Nothobranchius furzeri: one gene and its partners. The protein of the gene in region 1 purifies or fractionates together with the protein of each later gene. This does not show direct contact. Links are inferred from orthologs where the notes say so. Each region holds a gene or a part of one and is shown on either strand. Other genes may lie near its edges. The genes, in order: lin7c, pals1b, dlg1b and rho guanine nucleotide exchange factor 26.

Region 1 (5,323 bases):
GGTCGACCCGGGGGCCTTCTGCCGGCAGGACATGCCCGAAACACCTCAACTGACTCCTTTCGATCCGGAGGAGCAGCGGTTCTACTCTGAGTCCCTCCCGAATGTCCGAGCTCCTCACCCAATCTCTAAGGCTGAGCCCGGCCACCCTACGGAGGAAACTCATTTCGGCCGCTTGTATCCGCGATCTCGTTCTTTCGGTCATTACCCAAAGCTCATGACCATAGGTGAGGATTGGGACGTAGATCGACCGGTAAATGGAGAGCCTGGCTTTCTGGCTCAGCTCCCTCTTCACCACGACAGATCGGCTCAGCGTCCGCATCACTGTGCATTACGCGCTGTTTATTTTTCTTTCATCCTCTTTAACAGATTTGTCTCCAACAATATTTGCAGGTCCTGCCACGTTTGTTATGTCCAAGGCATGTTTCATGCGCCACAGTCTCCTTCCTTTCACAGCGATCGGAGGTGTGTGTGTGTGTGCGGCACTGCGACAACAGACGGGAGAAGCGCGTGTGTGTTTATTTTTGCCGTTTGAATCATTGTTTTTTTTAGAGGGGAGCCAAAATGCTCCTATAAATATGACCTAAATGATGCAGGTGGTTTTTCAAGCTTCTCTCTCCTCCTCCTTCATGACCATCGCTGTGCGTTTCTCCTTTGGACAGCACAGCTAGCGCCTCCGGCCTTCATGTGACCAATCCGTGAACCGCGTGTGGCCGAACCGCAGAGAGAGATACGTACGGATCAATGATGATCCGTTGCACCCCACCAACGTATGAAGATCATCAGTTATGACCAAACGACTTTTATTCTGATGGGGCTTCCTCGTCCTCCTCATCAAGCTAACTAATGGAGATGTAATCGGACTCAGACTTTATACCTGCTTATGAGTGATCACAGGATTATGAACACGTAGCCCTTTAAAAACCAGAATATTAAAAAAACTTCTAACACTAAAAGTCAGTCGTTTGGGCTTTTCTGTATGCAGAAATTTCTGAAGATGCATGGATTATCCCTCCCCAAAAAAGCAACATGCTCTAAAACCTGATACGTGCTTCATATTAAGATTCAAATTTACAATTCTTGACCTAATAATGATTCTCTGAGCTGCACGTACCACCCCATTAACAGAGAGAAGCTGGTCGCCTCTTTTCAGGCCTCCATGTCGGTCAGCGATGCCTCCTGGGATGATCCGCGAGATGTAAATAGGCGAGTTTTGCTCCTTTCCGCCCATTATATTGAAACCCAGACCTTCTTCTGTCTTGGGCAGTTCCACAACACGAGGATGGGAGTGTCCTTCACTTGCTGCAAAAGCTGCCACAGTAGCCTTTGAAAATAAAACAAACTCTTTAAAAATGTACAACAATTGATGCATAAAGTAGTTTTGAGACGGAGGAGATTTCTTGTGTATGAGCTTTACTTTAGCTGTGGCGTTGGCTCTGACCTCAGGACTGCTGTTGATGTCTACCGTTTCATACACATGCTCATAAACCTGAGGGGGAAAAAGCACCAAACGAACAGAACTTTATAACAAGGAGGAAGAAAAATCTGTGGAGTTTAGAGTTGGAATGAAGAGTCTCACCTCTCTGACAGCGTTACAGAATTCACTCTGTAGGACTCGCTGCAGCGCCTGCAGCTTCTGCGGAGGCACTTCCCCTGTTCTCTGCAGCTTATCAAGCAGCTCAATTGCACGATTGATATCTATCAAAGAGAGCATAATGCCATCACAGCTTACACACAGTCCAAAACAAACCACTATAAAAGATTAAAATGAGCATTAAATTTGCCTGTATTGATGCCAGCACTCAAGTCTTAAAAGTAAAAGCAGAAAAGGTGCTCGATAAATCTACGTAAAAGGACTATTTGATTTATATTCTTGTCTTTTACTGGACATGTCTTTAAATATTCTAAGACTTCCATTGGGTTTGTTCTGAAAGAAGTGATCTGCATAAGTGAAATGAAGCAGATTCAAAATCCTGAATGGTGTTGAAAAATAAAAAAAGAGAACATCTGCTGGGTAAAAATTTTTAAGAAAATTTTAAATAGTTCAGAGGGTTTTTATATCAACCAGTAAAAAATTACATGTGAAATAAATGACTGTAAAATATAAACAGCACCCCCTACTGCACAGGAAGGCCAAAACTTGTTTATCAATCACACTCATTATGTATTATTAAAGGTGCAGTATGTGGAAATATAGTGAGAATTTTACAGCGAGAAAATCCCAAATGAGTCATGTTTTGGTCATTTTGCGAGGAAAGTTCTACTGAAACATATTTCATTTCCAGCTGGCTGCAGGGATTATCAGTTTTTTTCTTTTTTCAAAACAAAGGAAGGAGGGACATAGTTATTGTTTACCATCAGTGAGTTGGGTTGTCGTGTCTCCTGCGAGCTAACACTGCAGCGCAGACAACTGTAATTTGACGACGGCCGGCAAAAAGCTCCAGAGTTTTTTAATGTGGTTGACGTAACCAAATTTTACCAAAGGATGTCATTTTTACTTAATTTCTACATAATGCACATTTAAAGTCATCTCGATTGAGCGGCACAGACCGATGTTAAATGATCAGATTCCTGACATTTATTAACTAAATGTTTGTTTATGTATTTAGCAGACGCTTTTGTCCAAAGCGACTAACAAGTGATAATCGGCATAAATGGAAGAGAAACGAGTTCCCACAACAGATTTGATCATTTGAACACTTTTAAAGCCACTAGAGACGAGTACATTTAAGGCTAAAATACACATCACCTACTTTCAACGGTTTCTAAGTGATTAAAAACAACCTGCAATTTTTCAAAATATCAAAAAATTAAGATATGTAGCAGGATACTGGCAGAAATAAAGTTTGCATTACAAATATCTCTTCATGAGCTCCCAGTTCAATTCAGAAATATATTTAAAATCGATTTCAAAAAGCACTCAGTAAACAAGCTCCGATTAAAGATTTCTTAGTTTTTCTTTGATGTTTGTGACCAGAGCTGGCTCACAATGAAAGTCGGACTGATACTTTCACTTGTTTTTACACAGATGTGACAATTACAGCTTATTTCACTTTAACAAATGCAATTTGCGTCATGTTCGACGTGTAATTTCTGAGAAGCAAAACGTGCCTTTACTGCTTTAATGACAATATTATACCTCGCATTTATTTCCCAACATACTGACTGGGCTGGTCAATCGCTGCTGTTATTAGCTACTTAGCTAGTGAGCGAATTAAACAAATACCGCTAAGGTATGCTTCGTTTAGCTTGGTCAAGTAAAACGCAGCTCTACGGGCAATATCAGATATATACATTTATGACAAGCAAATGTCAAAATATGTACCAAAAAACAACTCCCAGTTTGATTCAAACAACTAGAGCTAAACTGGGTAAACGTCTCTCGTTCACAACAAATAAAGCTAGCTAGCTAATTAACATTACCTCTTTCCAGTCGCACAGGTTCCCCCAGAGATGCCATTCTCGAAATGAGAGGCTATCTGGTATTAAATAGATACTGCGATACAAGAAATATACAAAAAAAAAAAAAAAAAAACTAAATTCGTAAATCCAGCCGACCGTTTCGTACGCTTAACTGGCACGATAAATCAGATTAGCTAAGTTAGCTCGGCTAGGCTAGCTGCCAGTGTCATGGTGCGTTCAGGGACCCTAGTAAAGCTGATTACTCGGTGGACAAAGCATTCTGTTGACATTTTTAGGTAATTATAAATGACAGATTGAATTCTGCGTATTTCTTATCTTGTTTATTTGTATTGATGTGAAATTTTAAGAGATCAGACGCAGCAACAAAATCACAAATTTTGTAGCAGTTACTTCTGTAACTAAATCTGGAACAGAAAACTTCATTTTAGAAGTTTAGTGTCATTCTGAATACTTTTAGTTCAAGATTAGGTTTCTAGGTTTGATTTAGCTTTATAGAAATATGAATGAGATGATGATGAGTAACCAAAGCAACATTTTTATTGATATTTTTCACTTTCTTAATAGCAAATAATAATTTCAGCTCATCAAACTCAGTTTTTCCAGTCTTCATCAGATTGCACCCTGTCAGTGTCTGGACACCAGGAACCTTGTTAGGAAGCTTGAATGAATGTTCTGGATGGTATCCAGGAAAGCTGATGGGAGGAGCAGCCTCTTTAGTGCCCTCCTCTGGTTTGCTGCAGCTCTTCTAGAGGCTCTGGTTCATAAATCAGCAGAAAACAGCTGCTCTCTGTGGGCTGAAACTTTGCAGGATGATTCATTTCTGACCCCACCCCAGCTGGTGATGAAACACAAACAATTTACCTTGAAAAGCTGGTGGTGAAAAACGGAACCCTGCTGTGACGTACGACTGGATCTCCAACACTGTGCTGCATCAGTAATTTCCTTTATTGGACAACAGATGCTCTGATTTGCTTGTTTTCATTCATCAGGGACAAACCTGGGTCAAATAAATGCCACAGTATTCATGTATTGTCTCTAAGCTCTTTTGATGCTCACATTAAATCTATAATTAGACGTCTTCTTGCTTGCAGAGTGCAACGAAAATGGCCCAAGGTCTCTGTTCAGAGAAACTGGAGCACATACTTTATGGAGCAAGCTTCCCTGTTTGATTCATTGTATTTTTTTATGCAGAGGATACGTTAGTACTTGACTAGGGCAAAACGGCTTCAACTCCAACTTAAGGTGGAATTTCTTTGAAGAGCAGGGCAGTTTTTTTTCCTGCAGCTGCATTGTGGCCTTGAAAAGAAGCCCGTTGTTTGATGTTTACGACAGCAGCACATTTAAGGATCTACTGCATGCTTGTCGTCTCTCTTTGAGTCTAAGTAGTTTAAATTGTGCTTCAAACAAAGCAAAACAAAGATACCTCACAGAATTCCAACTGCTGTCACTGGTGGGTCCATCAAGGCAGAGTTTATTTTTCTTCGTTCGGCAGATCTCAGAAAGTTGCAGCGTCCTCGTTAGTCGCACTTACCTTCAGGTTGGAGAGGAGGAAGTAAAATGAAGTGTTTCTCCGGAAATCTTGATGAAACATTCGGTGCATTTTATGTGTTTATTTAGAAATCTTCCATACTGAGGATTTGGTTTTTGCTGACCTAGTTCAACCTTGAACGACGGCGTCGACACCCGGCAAGGGAAGTTTTCTCACCCTCTAATGCGCCGCTGGAGGGAACATTGATGTAAAGCTGCAGAAGCCTCCCAGAAGCAAAGACTACCTTTTCCTTCTGATCGTGTAAAGCTCCATGAAATCGGTGATGATTGTTCTTCGGACTCAAAGACAGGATTACCCTACTGTCACAACAAAACGTTGAGTGCATAAATGTACACAGATGTATGGGTGGTTGGA
Region 2 (5,146 bases), on another chromosome or scaffold:
ACGACCCTCCTCTGGTACTGGAGCCGATGAAACAGCGTCGACAGTACGACAAACCAGTCTTTGGATAGTCTCCAGGTAAAAAGTGACAGGTGTTTCACAGCGTCAAAAGGGGACCCTCCTTGGGTCAGCGAGTTCAGCTTTTATTCTGAAAGGTACCGTTGCTTGGTTCACAAAACAACAGATTTTTCCCAGCTTGATGGGTTTCAGCTTAAAAAGAGAAGTGCAGAATGGCCTGTCCATACTTCACTTAACATGCGGTGAACTTCATGGGATCTTGAGAACTGAGATCTTGAGGCTGTTTCATGCACTCTGGCGCTGTGTCAAAGGGAACTGTGGAAAAGGTTAAATAACCTTGGAGGAATAGCTCCTTCATCAAGTTACACTTGATTAGTTTTTAGGTTATAACAATTTGCAAGTTAATCAAAACACAAAAACTAAACATATCAAGTTTTACTCAAGAAAATAATACATTTAAAATATATTTCTCTGAAAGAAATTAGTGAAGTTAAACGTAAATGCAAAAAGCTTAAATTTCCCTTATCCAGACTTGTTTGTGATAATTAAATGCTCTGACTTGTAACCTCTGAGGTCAACCTTTTGCTCTGAAAGTTTAGATTTCATGTGATGTCAGATTAAATATTGGGCTTGGACATTTAGGGTTTTGAACATAATTCTAAAAAGACTTTAGAATCTGCAAAAAATGACCTATAGACACAACAAATGCATAATTCTGGTGAACCTGTCCCTAAATTTCAGACCTCTCTGGCTTCTCCTGGTGATCATCATGTGATCTGCAAGGTCCCTCATATAATCTCTTTATTAAGTCAAATTAGACATTTTTCTGCTCTACAGGGCTTGCGCTGTCATTTTAATGTGTGAAACAGTAAAGACTTGCAATAAAACTGTGTACCATTCATAGAACAGTGCCATAAATATAGTTTAGAGGATATCATGTATAATTTATCATTGAGTTGGGGTCACTGTTGATGCAATGAGGCACTTTGTGATAGCTCCAGGATTTCTTCATGGAGAGATGACGTCTCAGCTGGACTGGAAGCTCCTTCTGTGCCTGCGGGAAAAGTATAAATGCACAGAGCAAAGGTGGGAAGATGTGAACTAAGATGAATCCAGTAGACACTCCAGTCCTTTCTCAAACCCTTTTCAAACTTGTCAAGTTGTGTGATGTTGCCTAAGAATGTTTTTTTAATGCAATGGCCTAAGTGTGGCAGACACACTTTTGAATAAATATTACGCTAATTTTCTTTTTAGTGGCTTTTATCTGCAAATGGAGTGATATTTGCAGTTCTATTACAAAAGCTATTCTAAACTATTTTGATTTCATGTGTTGAAATATGCTTCATCAAGAAAAATATACCTTAGCTAGAATGTTAAAAAATGCAAACATGTAAGTCTCATCACTGTTGGAATTATGATTTGGTGTAGTGCTGATTTGGGTACTTATAATTTAATTTATCTGATTATGCTTGCCGGATGTTCTTAATGCTTTTTTTTTTAGTTAATTGTGACCTTATGGCACCGTTGAATAATTACAATGGAGTTTACAGTAAATAAAATAACGAAATTAATCATTATAATTAATTGTTCTACAGGTATATATTTAAAATTGATTTTTTTGGTAAAAGTCTAAATTCATAAACTCTGAGTGTCTATTTTAATCCGCCTTATTCAATGTTTTACATAGTATTGTTATTTACGACATTGTCGTTACGTGTCTGTCGGAAAGATGGCGCTGTAGAGCTGCAGTGTTGCCAAGGAAACGATTGAAAACAACCGGTGGCGCAGTTCAGAAGTGTCCCGACTGCGCTTGGACAAAACTCAACAACCGCTGAACGCGTTCCTAGGGAGAAGACGGCAAGTTTCTCATTCACGAGCTGCTCGGATGTTCTCCGGAGATTTTATTTTAAAAGAGCCGCTTCCTGCTCCCGAAACTCGGACTCATCGCTGGTTTTGAAGTGGTGAGTAGAGGCTCTCTGTAACGGGACGGCTATGCTGTTAGCTTAGCAGCGATGTGCCGCTAGTCTCTGAGCTAAATTGGGCGCTTCGGTTGGTGTTAAACACCGACGATAAAACCAGAAACTTTGTTTTTAAGTGAAAAACTTTTGTTATTCTACAGAGTTGGTTTGTATGAAAGTTTAACTTACTTTGCAAAACTATTCGAACACGTTTTTATGTCACTGCTGTCTTTAGTGTTTCCTTGAATCGACTTAAAATAGTTTACCCCAACTAGCCTCTAGCTGTTTGGGCACTATTTCTAATAAAGGAAGCATTCAAGTTTATTAAACATGTGATTAGCGTTGCTTGATAATTTAAATATAACTTGAACGTTCAAACGTGGGGAAAACTTAAAAAAATAATGTATTTGTGTCACCACACGGGTTGAGCAATGTCCAAGTCGGGAAAAAAACTATTTTTCTAGTGTTTATAGTCATATTTTATGTTTTATTTCACTAAACAAATATCTGTGTACGTAATAATCTGCTCTACTGTTTAAAAATATGTTTTTGACACAATATGACTTTATGCACATTGTCAAACACGAGAGGATGGTGAGAGTAAGACAAGTATCTCAATTTATGTAAGAAAATGTGCTTTACTGATTTGTTTGGTCATATATAATATATAAAATGCAGAGGGCTGAATTTGAGGCCACAAAGCGGAGCCAGTTTCTTTGTATCACCTTGTTTGGTTTGTGCACTTCCTCTCATCCTCACTTCTGTACCCAGGCGCCACTCTCTACCCTGCATCCTTCTCAGAACTGCTTCAACCAGTTAGCAGCAGCAGAGCATGAGATCTCAAGCTTAATTAAGCCCACGGGAACAGATGGTCTGCTGGCAGTCTCTGCTGCTCCTCAGCAGTACCCTGCTACACTAAACACAACTAAATGGTTCTGGAGGGGAGGGTTTAGGAGGAGTGGACCTGCCAGCCGTGATTAGCTGTGGAGAGTTGCTGCCAGTTAATTGTAGGGGACACGACTGACTTTGACACAGGAATGTCAAACGTGGCTTTCAAGGACAATGTGCATGTGTTTGATTCTCATTTTCAATCTGTGGCAATTTGATTTGCAAAGAAGGGCAAAAATTTTTTAAATAAGAGCGATACAATCATTAATGACACAAATATCAAAAATTTTACTTTAATAATGTGCAAAAACAACTCGGCTTTTAATCCTTTTACTGTTTTCGAACAGGATTTTCTATTAGAAAATTTCCACTTTGAGGCACGTCATACCATCAAATCCAGATTATAACATCAACAGAATAGATCTTAATCTACAACATTCACAACATTACCCAGGTGGTAATGCATATCTATGTGCCATTTTCAGTTTTAATTTTTTTAATTCACCTAATATACTCAAGTCGAGTCAGTTTATTTTTGTTTCACAAGGTACAAAATGTAAAATTATTCAGAAATCCATATCAATTAGCAAATACAGTAAACAAAACATTAAGTAGAATCAAATTATTTAAAATTATGAAGGTGAACTCCGCTTCCAAGATATGCTGAACAGATTTGTGCTTTATTTGAGTATCAACACAAGCAACAAGCTATATTTTGGCTGAGGTGTTCTGGTGGACAGGTGAGCCTGGATGAGGCTGTGTAGAAGGGATTTAAGGTGACCGAATCCTGAAAGCTCTCCATGTTAGAAATTAGATTAGTGGAGAGACGGACGAGAGTGGAAAGGAGTAAAAGTTTGTCCTGATCGACACGCAGCCAGATTATGTGTTTTAGCGAAGCCCCAGGTAGTTTGTGAGTTTGACATTGATGTTGTGTGAGACTATGAACAAAGTCTGCTGAGTGAGCAGAAGGATAGCACGCCCAAACAAATCCCTTAACCTTTTTTCAATAGTTGTTGATACAGTCTGAGATTTTTGCTGAAGTTCAAGTTTTAAAAACTAAAAAAAAAAATACATTGAATGATTTTAAGTTAAAACATTTCTAAAACAAATTATTTTTATTTGTGTTTTTGTATCAGGAGGAGCGATGACTGAACCGGCACAGAGGACTCCATCCTCCAATGGCGTGCCTTGACCCTTGAGCTGATAGTTTCCAGCAGCAGCTTCTCGTGACGCTCTGGCAGACCTCAGGAAACCCTGGGGTGGTTTGAACTGTACGCCGCAGCAACAGGGATGATAACATCCCATATGAACGGTTATGTGCAAGAGGCCTCTGGTCAGGCCATGAGCCACAGAGAGAGGGCTGTGGACTGTCCGGGGCAGGAAAGCAGCCTTGTCAAATCCCCTCACTGCAGTGCCCACATGGAGAGGATCCAATATTACCAAGAGGAGCTGAGGAGGAGGAGAGAGGAGGACAACAAGGGGAAACATGACATTGATCCAAACGCCTCTCTGAGGCTCAAAAAGCTGTCGCAGAACCAAAAAGTTGGCACTGACAATCCCACCTTTGAGAGGAAGGAAAAGGCTTCCGAAGATGCGGCCTGTCTGGGTCCTGTTGTTGGTGAGTTCAGTGGAGGAAGTGGGTGCTGGCAAAGGCTCAAGGAGGTTAAACGGAAGAAGAGAAGGAGCAACGCAGCCCTCAGGGAGGAATAGACTTGTGAGGTTTTTTAAAGAGCAAGTCGCGCCCTACCAGAGTTTTACTCCACTCCCACTTCATGTTTGAAAAATGCAACAAATGTTGTTGCCTGGCAGACCAAGAGGGCGGAGCCACCAACAAATACACACACAGGCTCACAACAACATTGTGACGTCATAATGTACCAGCTAACGTCATAGTGTACCTCTTAGCCAATAACGATGGCAGATTTAAAGATAATGCAGTGCAGAGTTTTTACCTGACGAGGACGCAACACTGACAGTTTTAGACAGAATATTTAAATTTGAACTAAGATGCACTAAAGTACTAGCCTGGCCTGCCAGACTCGTCCTCTGTTTAATTCTGCACAGAGGAGTCTGGTAACACAGGCAGAGAGGCACTTGAGGGGCGGGACTAGGCAGCTCAAAAATGACCAATCAGAAAAAAGACGGAAATCCCGACTGTACCGCACGATGCTGTAGTTTTCTAGTTGTAAAAAAAATTGCATCTGACAACGGCGCAAACATCTTCTAATTTTTAGAAGAAACGCTTTTAGTGATTCTACTTGTGGTTTTAAAGACATTTGAGTCAT
Region 3 (4,678 bases), on another chromosome or scaffold:
ATCGAGTTGCACAGACAGCAGCTGCTGTCGATCCGCCCGCCGCTCCAAACTCCTCCCACCTCCTACAGCTCCTGCTCCATGCCAGCCTCCTTCAGGACCCGCAGCCGCTTCCTAAACCTGCGCGACAGTGTGAAGAAGAGCCCGACCAAGAGCAGCAGGAAACAGATCCTCTGGGTTCCATTTGCCTTCAGTCAGGTACCACCACGGTGTCGACCGCATAGCCTCTCCGGGACCATCTGTCGGAGGGAGGTTCTGTCTTGTTCTGTAGGACCCTGGCTCTCTAAAGTTGGGACCATGAATGGATCTGTGTTGGGCTCTGTAGAACCGCAGTTTGTTTTGCAACCTCTGACCCCTGAAGATAATTCATGGTGTGTGTGTGTGTGTGTGTGTGTGTGTGTGTGTGTGTGTGTGTGTGTGTGTGTGTGCGTGTGTGTTCAGCAGCTCAGATTGTATTTTATTTATTGTTTATTTCTATTATAATTATCTTCATCGAAACCAGAGGTCTTCTGGGTCGCTGCTACCGGAGCGCCTCTAATTGGGCCTCTCTGCCAGCAGCTTTCCGAGCAGCGCCTCAGAACTGGGCCTGTCGGATCAATGCGTTCAATTTTCCCGGCTAATTTTAGCATGTGTTTGTTTTCCATGAGGTTCTGCTCCAGCGGCTCCGATGCTGCAGAACCTCATGGAGGTCTGGTGTTGCATAACAGAAGATGTGATGAAAGTGTCCTCGCTCATCTTCATCAGACCTGCTGGTTGTTCGTCTAGCAGCAGAACCCTCAGTTCTGTTGGGTGGAGATGTGACTTCTCAGATCTTCATCCTTTATTGGGATACTTCTGATCCAGGAACAGTTTTGTTGGGGTTTTGTGTAGAGCTGGCCCTGGTCCTGCAGCAGATCACACACACACACACACACACACACACACACACACACACACACACACACACACACACACACACACACACACACACACACTCGGGGTGGTGTTAATCCACAGAGCTGCACATCAGGACCATCTGGAGGCTGACGTGTCAGAAAATCTGTCAATCACTCGTCCTCCTCCTGTGATTGGTTGATAATTCTGACACTCCACTGCCTTGTCTGGTTAGGCTCCACCCACCCAAAACCAGACCACTCCTTCCTGCCTGGAACACCTTCACACACTCGTCCATCATCCTCCTGCTGCTCATCTGACCTGCTCTCTGTTTGTCTGACCTTTGACCCTCAACATGCTATTGTTCAGCAGGCTGAGGTGGCCCCGCCCTCCTCTCCCATAATCCCTGTGATCCCCATCTCTCCAATCCCAGCCGAGACCACCGCCATACCTCCAGCATCACAGGTCTCGTTTATTTTATTTTACTGCACTCTCTCTCTCTCTCTCTCTCTCTCTCTCTCTCTCTCTCTCTCTCTCTCTCTCTCTCTCTCTCTCTCTCTCTCTCTCTCTCCCTCCATCCTCCATCCTTCCATCATCCACCCCTCCACCCACCCCTCCCTCCACCCAGAGGTTTATCTCTGCCTGGTTTGGCTGCTTGTCTCTCTGTTGACTTCCTGCTGTCCAGCTGTGGCTCTGATGAGCAGATTAGAGATAAAACTGAGGCAGAAATGTCACACTTCCCCCATCCGAGCCCATCTGGCTCCCCCTGCTCAGAAAGCAAGCGAGCAGACCCGCGCTGAGCTGGAGGAGGAGTTGAAGGAGCCCACGGTCTCGTCCTGTCCTGCAGTGTCTGAGCCGTTTAATCTCAGGCTTCATGCTTCAGAACTGCATCTTCTGCAGCGTGAAGAGCGATGATGTACGTACGGCCGCTGGAGGAGGTGTCAGACTAGCAGGGTGGAGCCCGGGCTTCCTGGGTGGATGTTGATGGGTTTCTGTCAGGATGTAGGTTGGTGTTTCCTCTGTGATGCCTGATGTTTGTTGTGTCCTTAGGCCAACCCCCCTCCTGTGGTGGTCAACGCAGACAGCCTGGACACGCCCCCATACGTGAGTTGATTGTCCCCTCAGGTCTCCAGTAGGACACCATCTTCTGAAGGAGTCCAGCTGTGACCCGTCTGTGTCTGTGTTGCAGGTGAACGGGACTGAGGCTGATTATGAGTACGAGGAGATCACGCTGGAGCGGGTAAGGAGGCCAGAGATGACTGTATCTGTAACCTAAACCCACGGCTGCTGGTGCTGGGTGATTTGGACCAAAACCTGCATCTCAGTGTCTTCAGCAGAGTTCTGATAAATGATGCAGCCATGGTGGGAAAGCTCACTGGAACACCACTGTCTCTAAAATTAAAATAAAGCTAAGTTTAGGGCAGACCATTGACCCAGAGATTTTTATGAATCTGTGGATCATTGTTCCTGTTGGAGTGCAGGAACTCCTGTGAGGACCACTTAGAGCTGGAACTGCTAGCGGTAGCATCGCCTGCTAACTACAAACTCACTGTGTGTTTTTATATTGATCATTTTGTTTCTTTATAAAGTTTATTTTTATTTTTGTTTATTTTTTATTGATTTTACAGTCATGGACATGCCGAATCCCAGTTTAGCTAAGTGTGATGAATGGCTTTAATCTGGGAGGAGGTGAGGAGTAGGGTTGGGCATAGATTGGTACCGAGACCAACTGTCAGTTTGTGTCAAGTTTTTTTATTCCGATTCCTAGTTTCGATTCCTAGTTCCGACTTCTAGTGTGCTGCCCGGAAGAGGAATCTGCGGCCGGTCTCCGTGAAAAATAAACATGATCCGCACATTCTGATAAACACATTTCAGAGCTGGTCACACCTGCTGTCTGTCGCTGCTGGTCTGCTACCTGCAGAGAGCCGTGTGCAGCAGCAAGCCCCCCCCCCACCCCCCCCCCACCCCCCCACCCCCACCCCCCCGATCTGATCTGCTAGGTTGTTCCTGTTCCAGCTTCATTTAAGTTTCAGGTTCCCTTCTGACTGAAGCTGCTGCAGCAGGTAGGTGTAGACTCTGTCATCCTGGACATGATCATCCTGAGAGTTTTAGCTGAAAACAGCTGGAAGTTTCTGGATATGTTGGAGACATTTAGCCTCTCATCCCAGAGGCTTCTTCCAGACTTTGGTTGTGGTCAGAAACAAACACACTGGTTGTGCTGCAAGTCTCTTTCTTTTTTTCTCCAAAACATGTTTTTGTCTAAATGAAGATGATGTTATTTTTCATAGAATTACAATTCATGTTGAAGTTAAGATTATTTCATCAAGTAGGACCTGTGGTTAGCTGGCTCATGTAACGCATGTCATGTCTTGAAAGAATCTGAATCGATAGGGACTGGAATCAAAACGAAGAATCGGAATTATTCAAATTCAGACGATGCCCAACCCTACTGAGGAGGTGGAGTTGGGGGTCCTGAAGGGAGACACTGATCTAGAGGATGGCAAACATCTCCCTTCATCAGGACCAGAGTCCTCCAAGCCTTAGATCTTCTCGTCCGTGTTGCCCGGACCCGTGTGACCCAGCTGAGACCACAGGTGATGGGTCACACGGGTCTGGTCCAGGTCTCGCTCTCCTGTCAGAGGGGAACCAGTTTAACTTAGTTTACCTTCACAGAGTGAAACCAGTTTCTGTTGGTGACCTGCAGCTGAGCTTACTTCAGCCCACTTAATGTATATCACCAAACCAGAGTCGTCTCAAAGTCAGCATTCCAGTAGAGCTCAGGTCACTAAGCCAATCAGTAAAAAGTTTCTATATAAGGAACCCAGCAGGTTGCATCGAGTCACTGTCTAGTGTCAGAGTCTTTACAGCAATCCTCATACTAAGCAAGCATGCAGCGACAGTGGAGAGGAAAACTCCCTTTTAACAGGAAGAAACCTCCAGAGGATCCTGGCTCAGTATAAGCAGCCATCCACCATGACTCACTGGGGATTGGGGGATTAATCCAGATTAATTTTAGTCTGATGCTCTTAATCCAAACCTGCTTCCAGAGGAATCCAGATCAGGACCTAGAAAAGACCAACCGTTAAAAATAAATGAAAGTTTAGTCATTTCAGTTCCTCTGTGTTTCTCTCTGATGTGTGGTTGTCATGGTAACCAGGGGAACTCGGGGCTGGGCTTCAGCATCGCTGGCGGCACAGACAACCCCCACATCGGCGAAGACCCCAGCATCTTCATTACCAAGGTCATACCTGGGGGGGCAGCTGCCCAGGACGGCCGGCTCAGGTCAGGCTCTCTCACACACACACACACACACGGGTAACCCTTCACCTACTGGACAAAGGTTTTTAGAGACACACCTGGAGGTTTATTGTGTGGACCAACTGTTCTACTGGAGAAATTTTATTGAGCTTCTGGATGTGGAGGGACCGTTCCTGTTGGAGATGGGTCTACTCCGTCAGTGATGCAAGGCTTTGAACGGGGAGGCAGACGTTTTGAATTTCCAAGGTGTGTACTGTGTCTACAGCTCAGGTGGAGTTCTTGGTGGCCGTTTATGACTGGACCCACAAGAATGCTAGCGTTCAGATGATGAGTAACATCTACATTTCCATAGAAAGGTGCTGCTTTGACACAACGTTTGTGTTGTCCCGTAACTCATAAATAATATCATTGTAACCAGAGCCTACCTTACTTCGTTGTTCTGGTTCTGATAGAACTGGATACGGATAGCAGGCAGCAGCACCTTTCACATCTGCATTCATTATGCAGCAGCAGTGAAAGCAGTTCTGACCTGGCCCACATGAGGTAGAGC
Region 4 (5,346 bases), on another chromosome or scaffold:
ATGAATTTAATAACAAAACTGCTAAACTCTTTCCAAAACACAGGTGAAAGAACAGAATCGAAAAAAAGATGCAATAAATTTTGGCCAAGTAGTATTGCTGTAGTATGATGTCATCATCGGCAGGCACAGGACCCCCGAGCAGCGCCAGAAAACTACAATCAGCATTTCATTCTCTTGATAGAATTAACTGAAGGATCACCAAAGTCTGAGGAGGCACGCTCAGGTCACATGCTTTCTGCCCCACACTGTACTGTTTTTTAAACTAGCGACAGTCACAGCGATATGGTGTAAAACTGCCCTGAGATGTATCTATGTTTTACCCCTATTGCCAGAAAACTACACACTGCCACTATGACATCAAAAAAGCTAATAAAATTCTAGTGCCTGAATCAGCATTCAAATGCATGATATAAAGTATTTACCAAAATCATATTCAGGTTCCAAACAGTTTAGAAGAAACATAAATTTAAGGTGTGGTTGACTGAAAAACATTTAAAATTATTTTTTATGATTATAATAGGTTTTTCCTGCAGGCTGAACATTAATAAAGTCTTCTACACCTATTTCCATTCTGATAGACAATAAGCAGTGAAATGCTAGGAGTTGAAAATCCTCACATATCTATGTCACACTGTGAATTTGCATATATGACCTTGCCTATCTTGGCTTGCGCCCACCCACAGGAAGGCTTTTGTTTTTTGTTTTAATTATGGGGCGAGGAGAGAGTGTTTTGTTGAGTGACTTTGCAACATGGCTGAATGTCTTCTGCTAGCCAGTAAGAAGGGAGGTGTGTGCATATCCCACCAGCTAACTTCTGCACCTCAGAGCAGGCTTATCAAAGCTTTTCTCTACACTAGAGAAGAGTGCAAATGTATTGAAAGAATGAGTAAACCACAACTTAAAATTAATTATTTTTAGAAAATGCACTTTTGTTTATTTGCAAATGTATTTTGTTTTATTCCAGAAGCTAGTAGGTAATTACGTCTGTTTGCATTTCTCAAAAAAAAAAAATCCATAATCACATTTCATTTTGACTCTAAGCCTTTTTCTGGGCACATTTAACATTTTCACTATTTTCTACTGAAAATATACAGACAAATTAAATTCAATTTTAATTTGACAGAAGCAGAAAGAGTTTCATTATGAGGAGCTTAATTACTAAGACAATGAGCTGCAGGTTGTTCAGGTTCATTACGAAAACTTTTGAAAAATGTAGAAGTTGGAACATGAAAGGGGGTGTCCACGAAGGGGTTTTTACTCCATGTAAACGTCCTGTGAGGCAGATGGACTGATAAAGCATATTTAAATGAAATAACACAATGATTCACAAATAGAATTTAAACGAAATGTTTTTTGCTGTTGTCATTTTTAGTTAGTTTAATAAAAAAAGGCAACACTCTGGAAGCAAAACTTCAGATTGCACTTAGTCTGACAGATGTTTCTCAATCAATGATATGAGCTATCATTGGCAAACAGGGCAATCATGACCCCTAGTGGTCAAAAAACGACAGCACAAAAAGCACTTTGACAGTAGGGAGCAATTAAGCGCTATAAAAGCTGGCATTTACTTGGAATGAGTAATTTGTTTTTAAGCCTGGAGGAATGCATGTGTGTTCATTTAATGGGGACATTCTGTCACACACGGAGTTGTGCAATCAAAAATGCATGAAAACACGACTCACACATTGCCCAATGCATTTTAATGGAATGGTTATGAAATCTATAAATCAGGACGAGGTCATCAGAAATGATTATACTTTATAATGTTCGTCCACAGTGATGCATATGTGGGTAATAAAGTAGATTTGATACACACGTTTGAGTTTAATTGTTTTTATATAGTTCCATTTCTTGTTGTGTTCAGATATTTGGCAGTATCACAATCTACCACACGGTGGCGCCAAAGAAAAGCAGGTAAAATAGCTTTTAAAACAGGCGTGTTGGAAAAGTGGGAAAACCTTTTGGAAAATTGACTATCGAGGACTTACTTGTAAAATAACAGTTTCTAATTACACTTTTATTGTAGCCTACACCCTGTTTTTCATCACATTTGCTTGATTTTCATCAACAAGCCTGGCCAACTGCTACAAAAAGCTTCATTGTCTTCCCGGAAACCCTCTCCAATATGCTGAAGTAGAAACTATCTGAGTGAATTCCTGAACTTGAGTACTGCTGTTCCTCCTCCTCCACCTCCCCCCTGCATTCAAACTCCTCAGCGCTCCCACAGACGCGGTCAGGGTGGCAGGCATGAATCCTCTCTGTCAGTAACTCCTTAAACTTCTCTGTTTTTTGGTCATCATTTCGCTAAAAATGCGCTTTTCGGACAGCTCAGGCGTAAAGAGCACGTCCAGAGTGATAGGTTAGGAGGTAAGTTTAACTTTTAACCTGCTTTTAGTTTCTCCTGGTAATCAGAAACAGCACCTTGCCTCATAAATAGATTAAAAACAACACTAAAATCTGGTGCCTTGTTGTTTCCTGTTTGGACTTCTACAGTAACTGCTCGTCATCTCACCAGTTTGTAATTAGGTCATTTCACTATGATGAGTAAATACAAAAAGATCTGTCTTGACTGGTTTGCCTTCTGTTTTCTGACCACATGTGTCTTGTCTGTAGTTGTGTCTGCTCCAAGTCCCTGTTAATGAGTAAACGTTTGGAATTTGTACACTGTCCTGAGCTCTTGAATGCTGAGTGGTGTTTTTCCTCTTGTGCATCTCAAGCGGAGGATATCTGCTCCCCAAAAGGGCTCTGTAGTTTGCTCCAGCCTGGAAGTTCAGCCACAAACGGCAACGAGGACTCGCAACAACTATGGATATTGGCAGCGATGTCGATCTGTCCAATAATAACATCACGCCTTTGTGGAAACTGCGTACAGACCACCGTAAAAGCTCCCTGGACATGAGCAGGTCTAAGCAGCGGCCCGTTAGTTATCGCATAAACGGGGTCATGACTGCTGATGTCCCTGTGGAGGACAGCCAGCCAGCTGAGAGACAGGCGGGATCAGCTCAGTCTGCTCACAACAACACCGCGGTGATGAAGCACGTTTTACAGAAGCCCTCAAGGAAAACCAGAGTGGTTCGGAGCATAAGCATAGGCCATCTGTCCAGTGGGCGATTCTCTCTGGCCAAATTTAGATCTGACAATAACAAATCTGCTTCACTGGACAACAAAGTGTGTAATGGAGACAGTGGCAGAGGGAATACCAGTAATGGACAAGCTGTATTGTCTGAAATCACCTCCAGTCCCAAGAGTCTCAGCTTACAGAGAAAACAGAATTCATTTTCATCCGAAGCTGATCCTTTCAGCTGTTCTACAAATGTCAACAACAACAACTATGAAACATTTTCACGATCCTCTTCATCGAGCTCCTCACCGTCATCACACGGTACCCTCACACCCTCCAACAGCTCCACGTCCAGCATCCCCTCACTCTTGTCTTTGACCTCCTCTGACCCTTCCACTCCTCGCTCCCCCTCACCAGCAGACCGAGGATTTTCCCTGGTCAGGCAGTCTCGGACATCTTCCTCCTCACAAGACGCCCTGAATGTCTCATCGTCCTCTTCCATCTCCTCCACATCGCCCTTACCATCACTATCCCCAGCTGTCTCGCCTTGTCCGTCGATCATCCTGAGCACCAACAGCGCCGCCGCTTGGAAAATGGGCACCCAGCAGCTCATCCCCAAAGGCTTGGTGTCTGAAACTCGGCTGAGTAAGGCGCATCCTTCTGGAACACAGAGCCAGGGTATGACCAGGCTGGGGTTAGACCTTCCCAAGCGAGGGCAAAAAACACTCAGCATGGTGGAAACGGGAGGCTACTTTTCTACTGGAGGGGGCCACTCTGAAGAGGCAGACAGAGGGAGTGAAAGCCCCCTTTCAAGGAAAGGTTTGAGGAGTACCTCTTACAGGAGGGCAGTTGTGAAGGCAGAAGAAACGGAAATACCCTCCGTAGATCAAATGACTCATCGGTTGTCACAACCTGCCATTAGCGGGCTTACTTTGGCTATCCCAAGTTCTCCTGATAGCCCATCACATCCTGTCACCTTGAGCCCTTCGAGTCCTGGAGCAGCCATCCCTACGAGCCCCAGCACACCTAAAACTGCCAGCCCCAAGACTCCAAAGCCTCCGAGCCCTCAGGTGGAAAAATCTAAAAGCAAAAGCAAGAAACTGGTAGGTACATCTGTTATCCAAAGGAATGCTTGAACATAATTGTCTTGAGACGCCTGCATTAGTTGGACCAACTTTGAAAGGTCTTATTGAGATTTTTATTGTTTTAATCTTCATCAAATTACATTTTCCCTCTTAATTTGTTGTAAAGAAAGTTTAATACAACATTTCGCTGTTTGAAAAGTTCTTATGTCTAAACTTCATTCTGATAATCCTAGCATAACCTGTATACCTTTGTATTTTCCTTAGCTTGAAACAAGTTATGTTTTGTCTTTGTCTCAGTTAATAACTCTGATGGCTTCTCTGTGTTGCACAAAGATTGCTTTGACAGATTTTCAGTATCAGAAGGGCTAAAGTCCGAATTATAAAACCACTGCACAAGCTGACCATTGTGGAACAAACTTAGCAGCGGCAGACGTGAGGACAAGGCCTCACAGGGAAACAATTAACTTGTTTGTTGGAAGACCAGACGCAACGAGACGCTACGTCTAAACAAACACACTTAAAAACACACTGACTCTGTCATTAAATATGTGTCAGGAAAGGAGGTCAAGAACAGCTGGTGTTTTGGTCCCATGGAGTTTAAAGTTGTGACACTTTTCTTGTAGACTCTAAATAAGAAGAAACTCTTGATAGCTCAGCGGACGTTTGACAGTGAAGGTGAGACGCAGTCATCTTACTCTTCTTTGTGATCAGTGCGCTTCTTCATCTTTAGTTTTTTTTTCCCCTTTTTTCAGAGGAAGAGCTTTACCAGAACTACCAAGAGAAGGCTTTGCATAATGATTCCGATGAGGACGCCTATTCCAGGGAACCCAAACCTGATAACGGCATTGTCGTGCAGTATAGACCAATACGTACTTCTTGGAGCCAGCTCAGCGTGGTTAGACACAACACACACACACACACACACACACACACACACACACACACACACACACACACACACACACACACACGCACACGCACACGCACACGCACACACACCCTAACCCTAAGCAATGCCGTTTTATTCCTAACCCTAACCTCAACTAAAAGTGAATTCTCGCCATACCTTTAAAAGCAGGAATTGGGGGTTTTCTGCACTGTGGGGTGCCACCCACACGCTACAGATTCCTGCCTTCTCCTGATATCTTCTGTGCCCCTTTCTCTCCACACTTCACGCTCACTATCTCAGGGCTGTGGTGG

The links.
Region 2: the proteins of lin7c (region 1) and pals1b purify together in Homo sapiens (affinity purification with mass spectrometry; 3 studies listed by BioGRID and IntAct, counting the BioPlex papers as one, with this or other methods). This does not show direct contact. The link is inferred for Nothobranchius furzeri from reciprocal best matches to the Homo sapiens genes LIN7C and PALS1.
Region 3: the proteins of lin7c (region 1) and dlg1b purify together in Homo sapiens (affinity purification with mass spectrometry; 4 studies listed by BioGRID and IntAct, counting the BioPlex papers as one, with this or other methods). This does not show direct contact. The link is inferred for Nothobranchius furzeri from reciprocal best matches to the Homo sapiens genes LIN7C and DLG1.
Region 4: the proteins of lin7c (region 1) and rho guanine nucleotide exchange factor 26 purify together in Homo sapiens (affinity purification with mass spectrometry; 3 studies listed by BioGRID and IntAct, counting the BioPlex papers as one, with this or other methods). This does not show direct contact. The link is inferred for Nothobranchius furzeri from reciprocal best matches to the Homo sapiens genes LIN7C and ARHGEF26.

Annotation. Positions count from the first base shown.
Region 1 is NC_091749.1:64,461,817-64,467,139, reverse strand, and holds the start of lin7c (protein lin-7 homolog C), read right to left. Parts: upstream 3,618-5,323; 5' UTR 3,458-3,617; coding exon 3,421-3,457; intron 1,696-3,420; coding exon 1,577-1,695; intron 1,487-1,576; coding exon 1,415-1,486; intron 1,322-1,414; coding exon 1,112-1,321; intron 1-1,111. UniProt on the Homo sapiens protein: Plays a role in establishing and maintaining the asymmetric distribution of channels and receptors at the plasma membrane of polarized cells.
Region 2 is NC_091742.1:8,457,816-8,462,961, reverse strand, and holds the start of pals1b (MAGUK p55 subfamily member 5b), read left to right. Parts: upstream 1-1,785; 5' UTR 1,786-1,976; intron 1,977-3,997; 5' UTR 3,998-4,151; coding exon 4,152-4,479; intron 4,480-5,146. UniProt on the Homo sapiens protein: Plays a role in tight junction biogenesis and in the establishment of cell polarity in epithelial cells.
Region 3 is NC_091751.1:34,840,003-34,844,680, reverse strand, and holds part of dlg1b (disks large homolog 1), read left to right. Parts: intron 1-1,239; coding exon 1,240-1,335; intron 1,336-1,920; coding exon 1,921-1,974; intron 1,975-2,059; coding exon 2,060-2,110; intron 2,111-4,027; coding exon 4,028-4,152; intron 4,153-4,678. UniProt on the Homo sapiens protein: Essential multidomain scaffolding protein required for normal development. Recruits channels, receptors and signaling molecules to discrete plasma membrane domains in polarized cells.
Region 4 is NC_091753.1:51,607,500-51,612,845, reverse strand, and holds the start of rho guanine nucleotide exchange factor 26, read left to right. Parts: upstream 1-2,229; 5' UTR 2,230-2,367; intron 2,368-2,717; 5' UTR 2,718-2,805; coding exon 2,806-4,164; intron 4,165-4,769; coding exon 4,770-4,821; intron 4,822-4,898; coding exon 4,899-5,041; intron 5,042-5,346. UniProt on the Homo sapiens protein: Activates RhoG GTPase by promoting the exchange of GDP by GTP. Required for the formation of membrane ruffles during macropinocytosis. Required for the formation of cup-like structures during trans-endothelial migration of leukocytes.